Linked DNA regions of Schizosaccharomyces pombe. Changing the gene in region 3 together with the main gene of any one other region gives a genetic interaction. Each region holds a gene or a part of one and is shown on either strand. Other genes may lie near its edges.

Region 1 (7,695 bases), 1.3 Mb from region 3:
ATTTTGGACGAGCAAGCATCCAAGTCGGAGCACTATAAATCTTCCAAAAATAAATAGTCGTGGGCATTTCCGGATTAAAATACAAATTACAATTTTCCATGGTTGTTACATTTCTCTGTTCGATAATATTTTTTACTTCCAAAACCGCAGGGATAACACCATTTTGATGCATTATGCCGAAGAAAACTGCCAAAACAACTGCATACATTACAAATAAAAATTTGATCCAATATGAACGAACTAGACATCCAGAGTTCACTATAAAAATAGAGGCTGCGGGTAGCAAAAACCTGGGCTCTTGGTGAGGAAACAGGGATAGTATGAAAACGGGGAGAAGCCATAACCAAGTTGCAGGTTTTCGAACGTCCCAAAGCTTTGGAACAAAAATCAGAGGACCACAAAGGAGTGGCATATTAGTGAAAAAATGTGTTAATCTTGAGTGCAATCCGTGCTGTGACAAATTTTCGATTTGAGAATTGTATTTTAAATTATTCCAAAATGTTATCACAAACACCCCATAAAACTTGTAGTCCTCGAGGATGCATGCTAAGACAGTTGCAAAAGAAACTGAAACAAAAATACATAAGTGCAAAAAGATGCTAATCCAGTTAGTGTTTATTCCATAATATATTTTTAATTCAATTTAAAAATCAAAATCACTTACTCTTTCGGATTGTTCACGTTCTTTTTAAAACATCGAACAGAAAAATAGATATAGGGGGCGATCACAAAAGCTAAAAAAGTGATTCTTGTGAAAAATCCTAATACACTAACAATTGCAAGCAAAAATGTATATAAATAACTAATTTTCTTGTTTAATGGCTGATTCTTGTTAGTTAAGAGTTGCCAGCTATTAACTTACCACACTATTCAACTTCGAAAGAAATAGTATAGTTAAAAAAAAGAAAATCGTTTCAATTGAGTTTGTAAAAGTATGTGTTTGAAATGTAGTAGCCATGAAGGATGAGGAATATAAAAGCAATGCACTCCATCTTGCGTTCAAAGGTACGATGTTCCAAATACTCAAATCTGCCAAAATTAGTCAAGGAAGGAGGAAATAAGGTTTGTAGTAAATTCTGAAATAAATTCCAAATTTATCAGAGCTTAATATTCGCCAATGTACATACCTATTAACAAAGAGATCAAACACATATAGAGTCTAGTGAACAACAAAATAGGATACGGAGAGCAGTTCGCTTTTGGATATGTAAGAATTTCGTTCAATTTAAAATACACTTACATTTGCAAATACACCGGCAAAGCAAGAAAATAGGTAAAAGCATCACATTCAAAGGAACTACAGACCGAATTGGTTTTTTAGTAGTAAATTCCCATGGAAGTTCCACTTTCCAGCCAAATAATTTATCTTTATATTAGTCATAAATTGTTGAAGAATTGTAATATACTTGCGAATATTTGAAACGATTGTAAATGCTCATCCGGATGTATGTATGAGCTGCCTTGCGAAAACCAAAAGCGTAAAATTAGGAGAAAAGTATAAATTATAGCATATTTACGGTTTTTAAACATCCTTAATCTCAATGGATAAAGCACGGGATTTATTGCTTCAGTGTGCAATGGATTACACGATGAAGATATAACGAGATATTCCGAACTATATATGTTTGTTATGAAAAAGGTTTGCTAAGCGAAAATGTAAACAACTCTTGGTCGACGGGTATATGTTTAAGAATACACGAAGCATACAAAAAGTATACGTTAAACTAATGTTTCAGTAAAATAATTGTACTAGAAGAATTGCAGGTCTTATTACATTTTAAATTAATCTAACTCAATACCCAAAACATAATTAATTTTAAACAAATCTAATATTAAAAGCCGTATTTTGGATCAACGATGGGGTAAAATCAATCACTAAGTATAAACAATGTCAACTCTCTTTAAAAAGGGCAAAAAGTTAATAAACTATAAACGAAGCCAAACGTAACATCAAAGATAAAAAATAATACAAAACCCTAAATGCAAAACTGTGCAAATACTTGCATCACATTGCAAAAGGAAATATAGTTAGACACCCATTAATCACAGGTGCAAGCAAAATGTCTTGCTTTGGAAATTAAAACATCATTTTTGTTTGCTTGTCGAGGCCACTGCTGTCTTTCTGGATGGCGGAACTTGAATTCCTCGTTCTGTGGCCGTGCGAAGACAATTTTGTCCAACTTCACTTTTATAATGTCGGTTAAGTGCATCCATGCGAGCAAACCTCTGATTGCAAGTGACACATGCAAAGGCTTTAATGCCAGTGTGTAACTGCTCATGTCTCCGTTTATCATGCTGTCTAGCAAATGATTTCTTACAAATCGAACATTGAAAGGGACGGTAATTTGTATGTGTATTCATATGACTTTTCAAATTATAAGCCCTAGTAAAACGCTTATTGCAACCAGCAAATGTACAAACGTAATTTCCTTGAGACTTAGACTCTGACTTTGCTTTAGACGAAGACGAATTTTCCGATTTGTTTCCTACTAGCGAATTCAATGATCGACTTCGAGGACGAGTATTTCTAACTGACAAATAATCGTTCGACTTAGAATTATCATTCTCTATTTTTCCCAGCAGTTCGGTATCTTGGTTAACAGATAGACATTCAGAAGAATGTGAAAAGTGAGTATATAATTGAGGTATGGGCTCATAAGCATCAAATCGTGAGCCAGCACTATTTGATCGATGACGAGCCGTATATGTGGGTGACATTTCAGGAGCACAAAGATTAGCGTTTTGTAAGTCATAAGAATTTTCATTCATAGCAGGTTGACCAGATACTGGAGATGCAGACTGGCTATAAGTGATACTAATGTCTGTTTGAAGAAGAGGATTTGCTGGCAAACTAGGTCCAGATTGGGATTTGGAAGGAGATGAAGGTACTACATTAATTTGTGGGGTACCCGAAAAGTTGTTTGAATCATAATTCAAAACGGAATTGCTTAAAGCGGTAGGAGAAATAGGGTCAAAAACGTGTGTTGTTAAAGAGGCATCTGCATGGTCCTCAGAAAAAGGAGAATTTACAGAACGAATAGTAGATTCTCTAGCATTTTCGCTGTTTAAAGTCCTTCCGGAGTTTGGAACAAGATATGGGGATGACTGGTGAGAAAATTCAGCGGAAGGACTGTTCTCAAATATGAAAGAAGGTGTGGAATGGTTAGACAATAAATCAACGGAAGGATTCAAATTGGTATTATCCGTATCAAAATCTATACCAGTGTTGCTTTCACCAGGAGACGCGTTCGTAAAGGCCCCCAGGCTCCCGGAAGAAGGTGGTTGAAGGTAGTCAGCAAAAGAACCGGTTCCGGTAATATTTTGTTGATTCTCCATCAATAAAGATGGATCTTCAAAATCAACAGAAGGAAATCTCTCTGAATCAACTTCAGTTCCAGATGCCTGTGACATTACATCAACAAAATTAAAAGCATCGGCTTCATACAGAGCACCAACAGAACCTTGTAAATATGGAGAACTCGGATTTGAAACAGATCCTGAGGGAAGGAAGGATGTTAATAGCTGAGGCGATGAAGATGGAGAAATTTCAGAAGCCGCAATTGCACGTGAAACTGGTAAGAACTGAGAAGAATCGATATTTGAAGACGGAATACCAATATTAAACTCATAAATGGATTGTCGTCTTGAGCCAACATTGTTAACAGTAAAGTCGTTGGCGTTATGAGTAGAACTCGAACCTTGAGTCAAGTCAAATGCTTGCGGACTATTTGATGGATTACTTAAAGGGCTAACGGAGTTTTCAAATACCGCTTGACTACCGAAGCCACTGACTGAAGTATCGTTCAGTTCTGTAAATGAAAAAGTAGGTACATTCCCGGTTCGAGGATAAGAATCATATTCATCGGATTTTGAAGACGTTTTAAAAGGCTCGGAGGTGTTGGGATGGAGGTGCTGAATATTATTTTTAGAAGGATTGGAAATTAAAGAAGAAGAAACTTCAGACGCAAGAGTATCCTCAAAAAGGGGGATATCAGCAAGCGAAGTGTCATTCATGTACGTATGCAACTCGCTAGAGCCTCCAAGATCCGGCTTTGAAAGGTTATCGTATAAAGAAGAAGGATTCAAGTCTTTGAATCTACGATTCGCTTCTTCTGACCTTTGACGCTCCATCGATGAAATTCATCAAATAATTAACTTTTGGAACGGTACGCTCTCAAAAATATTGTCTGAAGACTCACCAACTCTCTTTAATTGAATGGTTAGACAAATTATTTTTCAAAAAGCCTATAACGTGAATTTTTTGACCGAATAGTAGAGTAAAGCTGGTTTGTAGTAATAAATTGGATAAACCAGCAACACCAAGGGTGTGAAATTTATTAGTGGAATGAATAATTAATTACCAAAAGTATCGTTTAATAAACGAAAAAATTAAGACTTGAGGTCGTCAAAGTTAATCCAGTGCTTCACAGGATTTGATCAGATAACGACAGAATTTCTTGATACAAAATTTTGTATTTTGGAATAATGCGCAGGATAAAAGTCTGAGAAGATTGATGGTTAGTACAATATAATTGTTAGCTAAGCAACGTCAAAAAGGGCATTAAGCAATACAAATGAGAGGAGAGAGTGCGACAAATGAGATTTTCACAGATCGAAATGAGGAAGTAACCTAAAGGACAGCACAAGAGAAAACCCTTTAACGATTAGGAAAAATTGCAAAATTAGGTAGACAAGTATACAAGCGCAAATCGCTAACTCGACATGAAAAAAAACAGAATAGCCTCAATATACTACAGCGTCAGCTAAACGCTTTGATTTTCACAGAAAAAAAAATGATAGTTTAATAAATGGCCAGCAGATTATATATTTACAACGGATGAATTGCTAAATCATCAAGATATTTCTGCGATGTAGTGGTAAAGGATTGCACAAGACGTGATCGGGTAACGAATTTTAAGTAACACGCAGTTTAAACTTGAAGTTAGTATGAAGCAGCAGGATGCTAAAGAACAGTTTGCTAAACAAATTAAAAACAAAATATAATAAATTTCCATATACAAAGGATCCCAGTTAAGGAGTTCCAGAAATGAAAAAAAATTGGTTTTTGAAGGATATTCATCCAATTTTCTATTGAAAATTTACTGGACTTACTAAAGGGTGGCGACTTGTGTATAGTAAAGTGATGAGACATGTATTTTATACAAAGCACAAATAGCTAAATAACATGAATGTATGAAAATTTGTTTTATTTATTGAGCGACATCAAATATATATTCTAGTTTAAGGGGTAGGAAGCAAAGCCACATACTTTAAAGTGCCGGTTATTAGTTGAAGGCGTGCCCAAATGTAATACCACTTACAACATGGAGAACTTCCGTAGGCTTGTCAAGAAGCATTAAACCCCAAAGCTTGAAATTCATGAAATTAGCTTTTCAACACCATCCGAAACTCATTAGTGGGGAAGCAGAATAAGGTGTAGTACTACTTATAAATTGTGGAATAATTCTAAGTTGAAAACATAAAGTACTATAAATTATATGTAAGAGACTTCAAACCACCATGCAATTCTGACTATTGATTATTTTTGAAGAATCTTCTCTCACGATACGACGGACGGCGGCTTTGACGAGTTCCAGGCTCTTTGGTGCAGAGGCTTAGTTGAATGTTGTGAACGAAGCGGTTCATATCGGATACTTCAACCGATGTTCTGTCAACTAATATATATCATATTTGCAAATATCAAGAGCATTTCTTGTATTAGATTACCTAGATGCAGAAAATCCCAATTGTAATGCAACGAAATTGCGTATTGTAATAAATGGTATAATAATCTTATTAAGTATTTGTACTTCGTAGCAAAAGATGACTATATTGTGTTGTAAGAGCAACCTATACACCTCGTTTCGTAAGTTCTTTGATGGCGGAAGCTTCATGAGAAGCTAAAAATTCATAGTATTCTTTCAACCTCTGAAAGACTGATTCTCCGTTCCATAAGTCAATCCCTTCACTATTTTTCGTGTGTGCCGGCAAACCGTGTTGTTGAATGACAAACGAAGCGGCTACAGTAGCTTTAGCACAAGCTTCTATAATATTACCCGTCCTATAATACTCCAAGATTGCAGCTCCACAAAAAGCATTACCAGCCCCAGTGGTATCTAAAACGCTTCCGTTTTTCATTTGTACACTTGGCAAATGAAGAATTTCTCGCACAGGGACAACTGCATCGCTTGTAGCGTTGGTACTACTCGTGCATGCACCAATTAAACAACCATCGGACCCATTTCGAAGAACAACCCATCCTTGAGAATCGTGCCCAATTTGGAATTCTTGAAACGCAGATACAAACTCTTTGGCTCGAGATTTGCTTTCGCTAATATCTATACCCAGAAGGTTGGCAGAGTCCACCTCGTTTGGAGAAAATATATCACAATACTTTAAGGCTTTTTGTAAAATATGCCAGTTTTCCGGTAAACAGGATTCAGGCGTTGGCTCCCATACGATTTTAGGACGATTTTTTAGATTTCCATACTTTGCCAGTTCCTCACACACAGAGACAAATGTTTTAGGATTTGTAATAATATGAATTGTTTTTGCATATATCAATCCTGTTTCCAAAAGATCAGGAGCACGAATTGGCTTTTTAGGTGTAAGGTATTCAAACAATCGAAAACCATTGTCCCTGAGACGGTTGTAACCATATGTAGTTTTTCTCCAAGGCGTTTCTCTGTATACAATTCCAGTATGTAAATCGTTTAATTCATCGAGGATCACCTGCGGGAAATCAGAGCCTTTGTCAACAATCATTCCCAGTTGTTGACTTTCGGGTTCAGACGTCCAGAGTCTAGCACCAATCAATGCTGAAAATAATGTGTTAATTATTATTTTAATAATAAAAATATTGGACGCAATGCATCTTTTTTCTAAGGGAGAGGATTTCAACCTTCGATAAACAGATATGCTTCACCAATGAAGTTCGCAAATCGCTCCGCTTAAAATTTTAAAAAGAATTAGACACTTACCAAAAGATCCTGCACCTCCAATAATATCTTTAATCTTCTTTCCGCCGTCGAATTCAATTTCATCTATAATAAACATGCCTTGCATTCGTTAGCACTTATATGTGAAAGTTTTTACCAGTTGTGACGAATTCCACATCTTTCGAAGGATAATCCATTTTGTTAATCCCAAAAAATTACTGTAAGTTGTTTTTTTCTTAATTATAAGAACATATATTGCTTTAATGTTGGTGCATTAAAAGTCAGAGTTAGCGAACATCTGCAGATAATCTACGTAATTATCAATAAACATCCTGCACTCTGTATAGTAATTTAAAGGTAACATGGCGAATAATTAAATAAAATATTTCATATTTATGAAGGAAGTGTTGAATCATGCTGAAAATTAAGTATCCGTAAAAAATGTACTTTTGCATTTGCTTACTTTTGTATGAGATGAATGGGCATACTACTACATACCATATATCAAGCACACATGTCATACTTAGAACATTGTATTTTCCTAACGATATATAGGAAGTACTCATCATTCTCAAAAAGGAATTATCACTTTCCAATATAAAATTAACTAATCTAAGTGTTAGCAATGCAACAGTCCTGACCAGTCAATTAGCAAGCAATATAGCTAAGTCTACTCTTTTATAAAATTTCAAATGTTACTTCCCAAAGCTTTGCTCTTTAGTGCGGAATGGTAAGATTGGGAAAAAGAAATTGAAGT
Region 2 (5,890 bases), on a different chromosome or scaffold from region 3:
AAACTCCAAGACTCTGTCTAACATTATTAATATCCTGACTCTCTCGCTTGACAAAAAATAAAGCACTTCGTAGTTCAAGAAGGCATCTTGCTCTAGAAAGCATCAAACTTCCCATTTTGGACATGGTTGTTTCCAAAATAGAGGAAATTTTGCTAATTCTTTATTTATTTCCTAAACAACAAGAAACAAGTCCTTTTTAAAATAATTTGGCAGTTGCTAAGTTCAAATTTTGCGATCTGACTAATAAAAATTTTGGTTGGCGGCGTATCTGAAACCAACCAAAACTAAGCTTCGACCCAATACATGTAGAGCTGCGCAATTATCAGTATGTTATCATTGCATCGTAAACGACGGAGACACTGTTCAATCGAATAAAAACTGTAATAAAGAGCATAGAGACGAGCAAATTAAAATCAAATGTTTGCCTTATATTTACTATGTTTTCACCTCATCTAGATAAAAATAAAAATAAAAATAACGAGACGTTGCGTAGTATACTGTATTTGCGATTCGGCACAATTACAGGAAACGATCAGCATTGCTGCGAAGTATGCTACGTGAATACGGAGAAGGATGGTTAAGGGAATTTGAAAGGGTCAGACATACCAACTACCAGAATTACTTGATGAGCTGGAAAGGGTTTACAAAGGCACTTGCGCGTACGCCGCAGACTCTACGCAGCAAGTTTAATGTTGGAGAGATTACCAAAGATCCTATTTATGAGGATGCTGGAAGACGGTTTAAGTCTTTAGAAACGGAAGCGAAAAAGCTGGCTGAAGACGCCAAAAAGTATACTGATGCTATTAATGGGTTATTGAATCATCAAATTGGATTTGCCGATGCTTGTATTGAAATTTACAAGCCTATTAGTGGGCGTGCTTCGGATCCTGAATCGTATGAGCAAGAAGGCAATGCGGAAGGTATTGAGGCTGCCGAGGCTTACAAGGAAATTGTATACGATCTCCAAAAGAATTTGGCTTCTGAAATGGATGTTATCAACACTCGCATTGTCAATCCAACTGGTGAACTGCTCAAGATTGTTAAGGATGTAGATAAGCTTTTGTTGAAACGCGATCATAAGCAGCTGGATTATGATCGTCATCGTTCATCTTTCAAGAAACTTCAGGAAAAGAAGGATAAAAGCCTTAAAGATGAGAAGAAGCTTTATGAAGCTGAAACCGCCTTTGAACAATCTTCCCAAGAATATGAATATTATAATGAAATGCTGAAGGAGGAGTTACCTAAACTATTTGCATTGGCTCAGAGCTTCATTGCTCCCTTATTCCAAGGATTTTACTATATGCAATTAAATGTCTATTACGTTCTTTATGAAAAGATGAGTCACTGCGAAATTCAGTACTTTGATTTCAATACCGATATTTTGGAATCGTACGAAAGAAGACGCGGCGATGTTAAAGATCGCGCAGAGGCTTTGACGATTACTAAATTTAAGACCGCTAAACCGACGTATAAACGACCGGGTATGGGACCGGGTGGTAAAGATGCAACTGCTTCTTCTTCTTCTTCCTTTTCGTCAAAGCGTGAAGAAGCAGCAGCCGAACCCTCCTCTTCGACAGCTACGGATATTCCACCCCCATACTCAACGCCATCGGTTGCCGGAGCTTCCGATTATTCTACCCCAAGTGCAGGTTATCAAACTGTTCAGACGACCACTACTACAACTGAAGCAGCAGCTGCTCAATACCCTCAAGCGGCCTTTCCTCCCCCTCCAGTTATGCCTCAACCTGCTGCTGCGGCAGTGACCACACCTGTTGCTGCACCGGTAGCAGCAGCTGCAGCCGCAGTTCCCGTACCTCCACCAGCGCCTGCACCTGCTGCGGCTCCCGCCGCAGAGCATGTTGTTGCTTTATATGATTATGCTGCCCAAGCAGCCGGAGATTTATCTTTTCATGCTGGCGATCGTATCGAAGTTGTTTCACGTACTGATAATCAAAATGTAAGTACTTAAACTTAAATTTTCATTTTTTTCTTATTAAACAAGGACTTTACTAATATATATTTTAGGAATGGTGGATTGGCCGACTTAACGGTGCACAAGGTCAATTTCCTGGTAATTATGTTCAGCTTGAATAAAGCGTTTTTAAATTTACCTAGATGTGTCTTAAAATCTCGCTGCCTACTGAAGTCAATATAGAAGCTTGATTATAGGACTTGTTGTTACAGGTTACTGTTTGTGTGCGCGCTTCAACAAGTTTTACACTGCTATTCAATTTCTATCAATTTTGTCGTTCTAACTATGATGCTTAAATTTAGACATGTATTCCATACATCATCATCTCCAGTGATAATTTAACACTGTCTATGTTTGAATACTGGCTTTTTATCAACGTGTTTCCTTACTGACGTGTACTTCAAAGAGTAGCACATTTTTTGAAATGTTTTGAATAACGTAAACTTATATATATTAATTACGTTTAACTGTTTTTATTTTAATTTAACTAGTCTATCAACAAAGCTGTCCTTTCTTATATCTATACTTTAACAGTGCTAGCTAGGATTGAAGCAAAACATGATTCGAACTAGAGCTTTCATTGTGATATTGAATTTTTTGGGATTTGTAGTTTCAACAGTATAACAATCGGAATTGATGTATTCTAGCAGGAAATATACGACATACAGTATTTAGAGTCGTTGCTAAACGAGAATCGTTTAACGAACTTCGTTAACAGACAGTATTCCATGACTTAAGTGAATAGTTAACTACGTAACCTAATGCAGCAACGATACGGTAAATACAATATCGAGTGTTAATGAAATTTGTAATAAAGTAATTTGCATAGCTGATAGTATCATGCAAATCAATCTAGTAAGTGAGTTAGCACCTACCAAAGGAAATTGGATGATGAAAAGTGTTGTTTGAGAATATCAGTTACAGGATATTATGGTACGCCCCATAAATGCTGAAGAGGATGTGACATCCATGTGGGTTAAATTTCATGAAAGCCTAAATCCCATTCGGTCTAGTTTAATAAAACAAGAAGAATGTTATAAAACGGTTGATGGCGACGATAATCCAATTGAAGAAAGAATTAAAGCGTGTGACGCGGGAATTCAAACCTCTGAAGAACAGAAAAAAGAATTGGAGCATACAATGCAATCTCTTGAGATGATTATTAATGTACTCGAAAAAGCCAATGAAAAACCTGTAATTACAAATAGTCCTTTGACGAGAAGTCGTCGAAACCGAGGAACAAGCTTTACAGCAAATACAGTAACCTTTACACCTGGCATGTCTGTAGCTTTCAAGTTACCATACACGAGGCATAACGAGGGAGGTGATTGGATTCAATGTATCATTATTAAAGTGACTGGAGAAGGAGCAAAACAGAGGTGAGTTTTCAAAAGCAAATATTGTCAGTCGCGAGTTCAAATTTACTTCTAAGCTTATATGTTGATAATATTTTTTTACCAGTATATTAACAAAACCATAGATTTGAAGTGCAGGATCCAGAACCGGATGATGACGGTAATGCAGGTCAAATTTATAAAACTACAGCTAATCATCTTATACAAATTCCTGCAAAAGGAACTCCTTTACCCCCAATAAGCCCAAAAACAAATGTTTTAGCTCGATATCCTGAAACTACTACGTTTTATCGGGCAGAAGTCATTCGCACTCTGCCTGATGGATCATGTAAACTTCGATTTGAAGGAGAAGAGGAAGTTGGGAAAGAAACAGTGGTAGAGCGTCATTTGGTGTTAGAGTACAATGGTTAAAACTGGAACGTTTTACTCAGATTTTTTAGGAGGTATTAGTTAAAGGTTATTTTTATTCACTTCGATATTAGGTTCACAGCATTTAAAAAAATTGATGACATTATCTGTAATATGCATAACTCAGATTTAACATTTTTTTTATTCATTGTGATGTTGAGTTGTTCCTTATATTTTATATATTAATGGCGTTAACGCATGTTAATAACTTAAGCCAAGACAAGGGCTCATTCAAAGTACTTGCTTCTATCGTGTTGCACATCTAACATTGCTAATGTACGCCAAATCTGCTTGCTTCCTTGACATTTTGCAAGGAATCTAATTTTAAAAAATAGTAGTAACATGACAGTCTAGAAAAAATTTCAAACACCTATAGAGGAAACTGAATACTAAAACTAAGTTCATTTAACGAGTATCTCCTATTAAATTATTCATAAAAATAAACAAAATAGAAAAATTGTATATGTATGAATCCTTTGGTTAATGGACTCTGAGATAAAGAAATGTAGCAACCCGGTATATATAGTTAACGCATTTATAGTTACCAACGCTATGAGGGCATTAAGGGTTTGAGTAGCTGCTCTTCTGGTTACATTATGACTGCGTATTTATGGTGGACGTGAATATGGCACCAAGCACAGCTTTGTTTTCAGAACCAAACATTATACTCCTTTCAGAGTTATATTCTGTTTGCTGGCTCATATATTCAAGGAGTCTTTTGTTTAATTCTCAACGATCTTTAAGTTTGGTTTTATTTTATTCTTTTATTCAAAGGGACAATTAATATTCACGTCTCTCTAATTGACCTCCTGGCGCAACGTGCTCGTTTAATTAAACTCTTTCACTATGTTTTCAAATTCTAAAAAAAAAATTTTTCTTTACGTGCTAATTGCCGGTGTTGCTACTTTTTCCTTTGCTTTTCTTGTACTAAATCGTCTACAGGCCGAAGAACATTCACTCGCCTACGTAGAGAATTTGTTTTTAGATCCCTTCATTAAGCAAAATGAATCGCTTGCCCATGCGAACGACAGACCTTTCAAACTGTATTTGGGGATTTTTAGTCAAGCTAAGAACGTGGATAGGCGTAACTTTTTACGTACCGACTATAATGAATATATTAAGGAGTTTGCCGTAAATGATACTGTGGATGTTAGATTTATCCTTGGTTTACCTGAGAATGAGCAGGAATTAGCTACCATTCGCGAAGAGCAGCGAACGTATGGTGACTTAGCAGTACTACCTATTCCGGAGAATGTGGATGCTGGAAAGTCCATTGTATACTTCCAAACATTTTTAGAGGGCTACCAGCCGTTTCCTCTTTTTTCTGAACTTGCAGATAATCTTATAATGCCCAGCACTCAGTTTCATGGTAGTTTTATATATAATCAAAGTATTAAGACATATGAGTTGCCTGGTATGAAGGAATTCCAAGATCTCGGCGAGCCAAAGCATGACTACGATTTTATTGTTAAAGCCGATGACGATTCTTTCTTGAATTTACCCCGTCTGTTTGAAATGTTGAAAGAGCACGTTGGGAAAAGCCGCTTTTATTTTGGAAGGGATTGCACACGAAGAGAATTACCTACCGCTGTTCGTGACTTCCCGTACATGTGCGGGTTCTTCTATATAGTATCTCCTGATATGGCTTATGAGGTGGCTAAACGCCGTAATATTATTATTCCGTTTGAAGATGCTCAGACCGGCTATAGCATTTACCTTTCCGGTAATGTAAAAAATGCGGAATTCTCTAAATGCACATTGTATGATTTGATTTTACCCAACGAAGGTTTTAATTATCGTCAAAGCTATTTACGCATTGACGCCATTGCCGTCCATAAGCTTAAAAGCATCCCTCTCTTGTCGACGGTAAGCAATTGGTTTAAAAAAATGTATGAACATCGTGCCAATTGCAGTGCCTTGATAGAAACTGAACGACTTTCGTGTCTTCAGGCAACAATTCCTTTACCTTCTTTGGACGTTTAATCGTTTCTCCTCTATCGTTATTCTTTGCATATGCATTATTCTTCGTTTATGTTTCATTTATTTGATCCGTGCGTAACGTAACGTTTACACATGTTTCATATCTACTAATGCTTCGTTCTTTATAATCTTTTCTCAATTTGTTTTAACCGCCATCTATTGTTAACATAGTTCT
Region 3 (3,766 bases):
CGTGGTTTTGATCGTTTACGTGAAGCTGGTTTTACAGAAACCGAGGTCAATAATTTGCGTAGCCAATTTCATCGCTTACGAGGAACTAATTTGGATTCACTCACGGAAGACGCTATCAGAGAGGCAGAAGACGATTGGATTGACAATGGAGGACAAAACTCTTCTGCCGACGAACTTGACATGTCATATGAAACCTTGTTGGCTGGAGTATTAATAGGCTTTTTTGGAGGAGCTATTGCTTGTTATTTTCTTTGGGAAAGGACAATGTTCTCTCTGAGAATGCAATTATCCATTCTTGTCGGAATTATTTGCAATTTTGCATACGGCTTATTACACTCGTATCGATGGTAAACCCGTTCATTTTTGTTAAAATTTTTGTCCAATACAATTAATCGTTCCACTTTTCGTTGCACTTGTTAATTATGACTACAGTTTAATTGAGGATTAATAATGTCGAATTTTATGATCTATTCGCTTTGATCAAGCGTTAACTTATTAAATGTACGTTTAAAACACCATTTGGATTTATTAAGAAGTGTAAAGTAGGATAACTGTAAAAGTGTCGTATTGAGTGTGCAAAAGTAAAATATGCATATATTCATCGCTAGAATGAAAGATACCAATCAGATCCTAAAACAAAAAAAAACACACACAATAGAGGAGAGTGCTTCTAAAACAATAAAAAGAAGAAGAAATATGAAGGATTATTTTACAACCGGTATCTAAATGGGCTGACCCAAGATTTAAGAAAATTTCCAGCGATTTCCGCAAACAGTACATTCACAAAACTAAAAAAAAATTAGTCCAAATATTCTACCCAAATAGACTAATGCTTACCGTTGTCATAGGCTCATCAGCAGATCTATACGGATTGTTAATAAATTTTACGCGATAAAAAGTACTAAAATCATGACAAATAACATACCTTGTTTGCATTTGGTAATAAGAAACTTTTTTTTGCTTACACTTCCCACAAGTAAAAAGGTCTGTAACAGCTTTTTGGGGTTTAGCACCTTGCGCATGGAATAAATTTTCTTGTTCTAGCTTGGCATCTTCCTTGCGACGGTCTTCTGAAGCCAATTCGGCAGAAGTCATGGTACTGAGTCTTTGCGGAGTAATTTCATTTCGTAATACTGATGCTCTAAGTTTCGGGTTATTTTTATCTTTAAGATTCATATACAAGGACCGCATTCTGTTTCGATATTCAGAACCAGTTTTACCTGCTGCTCTAGCAAGTACTTGCGCATCAATTTCTTTGGCTTTGGCTATTATTAATGAAGAAGATTCATCCGAATCTATGACTAATGCATTGTACATTAATCCAATACAGTTGTTGCGAATCTTGTCATCAGTCACATTGACGTTCACATTATCAGATTTAAAAGTACGCTGACCACTGCTGCTTTGTTTTTGAACTTGTTTTTGAGCTTGAGAACCTACATCCGCATGTTTAGAAGGCGTGGAGGAAGTTGTAGTTGTGGTTTTCAATGGACGACCTTTACTAACATCGGCTTTCCATTTTTTTACAATTTCCCGAGCTTGCTCACCAACTTTCTCATTGGGATGAGATCTGAGCTTGCCAACGACTAATCCCAGCCGGGTTTCCTAGCATCATTGGTTAGTATTTTGAATACCGATTCTCCATCAAATGTTGGTACTCTTGTGGAATTCGTATTTTAAGAAAGATGTTATTTCTATTAAGTGAAATTTGCAAAATTCATGTAATATATTGTCAACAATCCGTGCGAGAATACTACCATATTGCATGTAATAAACCTACCTTAAGTAATTCTTCGGTAGCAACTACTTCATTTTTTAAACGTGTCATAATGTTAATTATAGTCTAGCTTGATATTAGCTTCAAAACCATCTGTAAGTCCCAATAGCACAAATTACAAACCTCTATATTCTTTCCCTGAATAGCTTTTTCCAAAGCTGCTTTCGCAGATCGGATATCAGCAGAGTCCATGATTCAAATTAAGTTCGAATACTGTAAACACTGCTGTTGGTTAGCAGATTGCAAAATTAATAATCTTATGGTGGTAGAGGATTTATTTTGGATAACGCGCTTTACATCTCACATGTCTACTAATACCGTTGTGATTTTTCTTCACCACCATAGTTGCTGATGTGAATATCAACACCCCGTAACGTGATTTTGTTAGTTGAATTCTTGAGTTTGACAGTTTTTTTTTCAAGTTTGCAAACTGTTTTCTGTTTATCGCATTAGTACTCGTGTTTATTTTACAACGTTAAATTTTCATGCTCCTCCGCTGACTTGATCTTACTCAATTGTTAATTGTTTTATCAGCTTTGTTTATGAAAAGCAAAGATTATAATGTTGTTTGATCAAATTGAAGAAACTTGATGTTCAAGAATTTAAAAGTTTGATATTCAGTTTATTTTTGAAACTTACTTTGGTCTATGTGTTCGTTCGTTTTCATAAATTTAGTTTCATGATTGTACTGAGAGACTCAAGTGACTATTCCGACTCTGAAGTAGACCTGCCAAGTATCGAGGTGAACGGAGAACGAGGAAATGTTCCTACCTCAGTGCTTTGTAATGTTGAAGGATCTTTGTTGAATTCTAATCCTGCTTTAAGGCAACCAAATTTGAAATGTATAAAACATAATCAAGACGTTGAAAATACTACGTTTCAACTAGACTTGCGAGGCTGTAGGGTTCCTTCTTCTCAACCTCAAGTTATAACTGAGTTAGAAAACAATATTGACATTCCAAAAAATATTGATGCAATGCAAAACTGGATTTTTCCACAGACTCAGCAGTATAGAAATTATCAAAAGGAATTTTGTGAGCAAGCATTATTCCACAATTTATTACTGGCTCTACCTACTGGGTTGGGAAAGACATTTATTGCGGCAGTGGTCATGTTAAACTATTTTCGTTGGTTTCCTGAAAGCAAAATAATATTTCTTGCCCCCACAAAACCATTACTGTTGCAACAAAGAGTTGCTTGTTCCAATGTAGCGGGAATGTCACCAGGTGCTACCGCTGAATTGAACGGTGAAGTATCACCGGATCGTCGACTTTTCGAATACAATACGAAACGAGTATTTTTCATGACTCCACAAACACTCCAGAATGATTTAAAGGAACATTTACTGGATGCCAAAAGTATTATTTGCCTGATATTTGATGAAGCTCATAGAGCTACTGGCAACCATTCGTATGCTCAGGTTATGAGGGCAGTGCTTAGATCTAATAGTCATTTTCGAGTCCTTGGTTTAACCGCAACTCCAGGATCTTCTACCGCCTCTGTTCAAAAGGTAGTAGATTGCCTCCATATCTCCAAACTCATTGTTCGCAACGAAGAAAGTATAGATATTCGCTCATATGTTTTTCATAAAAAGATTCAGTTGATTAAGGTCACGATCTCCTCTGAAATGAATATTTTAAAATCGGACTTTGCTAACCTATACCGGCCATATTTTAATTTTCTCCGTCAAAAAAAACTTATACCTATCAATTGTGAATGCCTTAATATAAAAGCTTATACGCTTTTCGTTTCTTTACGAAAGTATTCCTTTAGTTCAAAAAATGTACAATCTAAAGAAAAATCAAAAATCATGAGTTGCTTTACGCTATTGATTTCATGTGCTCATATAACGTATCTGTTAGATTGTCATGGGATTATCCAATTTTATCAAAAGCTTGTGGAAACTAAAAATAAAGCTGAAGGAAAAGGGAGTGGACAAAGCTTTTGGTTGTTTACTAGTAAACCGTTTGCTTTTTATTTAGAACACCT

What was found. Genes that interact genetically often act in the same process or in processes that back each other up.
Region 1: of tfs1 (region 3) and prz1, extra expression of one rescues a mutant of the other (dosage rescue), as found in Schizosaccharomyces pombe (2 studies listed by BioGRID, with this or other methods).
Region 2: mutations in tfs1 (region 3) and sgf29 together harm fitness less than expected from each alone (positive genetic interaction), as found in Schizosaccharomyces pombe (2 studies listed by BioGRID).

The regions. Positions count from the first base shown.
Region 1 is NC_003424.3:785,034-792,728, forward strand, and holds prz1 (calcineurin-responsive transcription factor Prz1), read right to left. Parts: upstream 4,880-7,695; 5' UTR 4,132-4,879; coding exon 2,086-4,131; 3' UTR 1,745-2,085; downstream 1-1,744. Other genes in the region: smp3 (alpha-1,2-mannosyltransferase), read right to left, coding at 1-599, 665-822, 863-1,029, 1,128-1,196, 1,241-1,366, 1,407-1,530; SPOM_SPAC16C9.01C (carbohydrate kinase), read right to left, coding at 5,851-6,818, 6,981-7,058, 7,096-7,135; mta1 (S-methyl-5-thioadenosine phosphorylase), read right to left, coding at 7,656-7,695. UniProt on the Schizosaccharomyces pombe protein: Involved in the regulation of calcium ion homeostasis. Binds to the calcineurin-dependent response element. Transcriptionally regulates pmc1.
Region 2 is NC_003423.3:2,416,994-2,422,883, reverse strand, and holds sgf29 (SAGA complex subunit Sgf29), read left to right. Parts: upstream 1-2,838; 5' UTR 2,839-2,902; coding exon 2,903-3,351; exon of another isoform or gene 3,352-3,452; coding exon 3,453-3,738; 3' UTR 3,739-4,146; downstream 4,147-5,890. Other genes in the region: cysteine desulfurase Nfs1, read right to left, coding at 1-124; BAR adaptor protein Hob1, read left to right, coding at 626-1,957, 2,026-2,094; pvg3 (galactosylxylosylprotein 3-beta-galactosyltransferase Pvg1), read left to right, coding at 4,582-5,718. UniProt on the Schizosaccharomyces pombe protein: Chromatin reader component of the transcription coactivator SAGA complex. SAGA acts as a general cofactor required for essentially all RNA polymerase II transcription.
Region 3 is NC_003424.3:2,114,413-2,118,178, forward strand, and holds tfs1 (general transcription elongation factor TFIIS), read right to left. Parts: upstream 2,045-3,766; 5' UTR 1,970-2,044; coding exon 1,901-1,969; intron 1,844-1,900; coding exon 1,781-1,843; intron 1,606-1,780; coding exon 926-1,605; intron 863-925; coding exon 838-862; intron 789-837; coding exon 744-788; 3' UTR 501-743; downstream 1-500. Other genes in the region: protein dsc3, read left to right, coding at 1-351; ATP-dependent 3'-5'-directionality DNA helicase fml2, read left to right, coding at 2,457-3,766. UniProt on the Schizosaccharomyces pombe protein: Necessary for efficient RNA polymerase II transcription elongation past template-encoded arresting sites.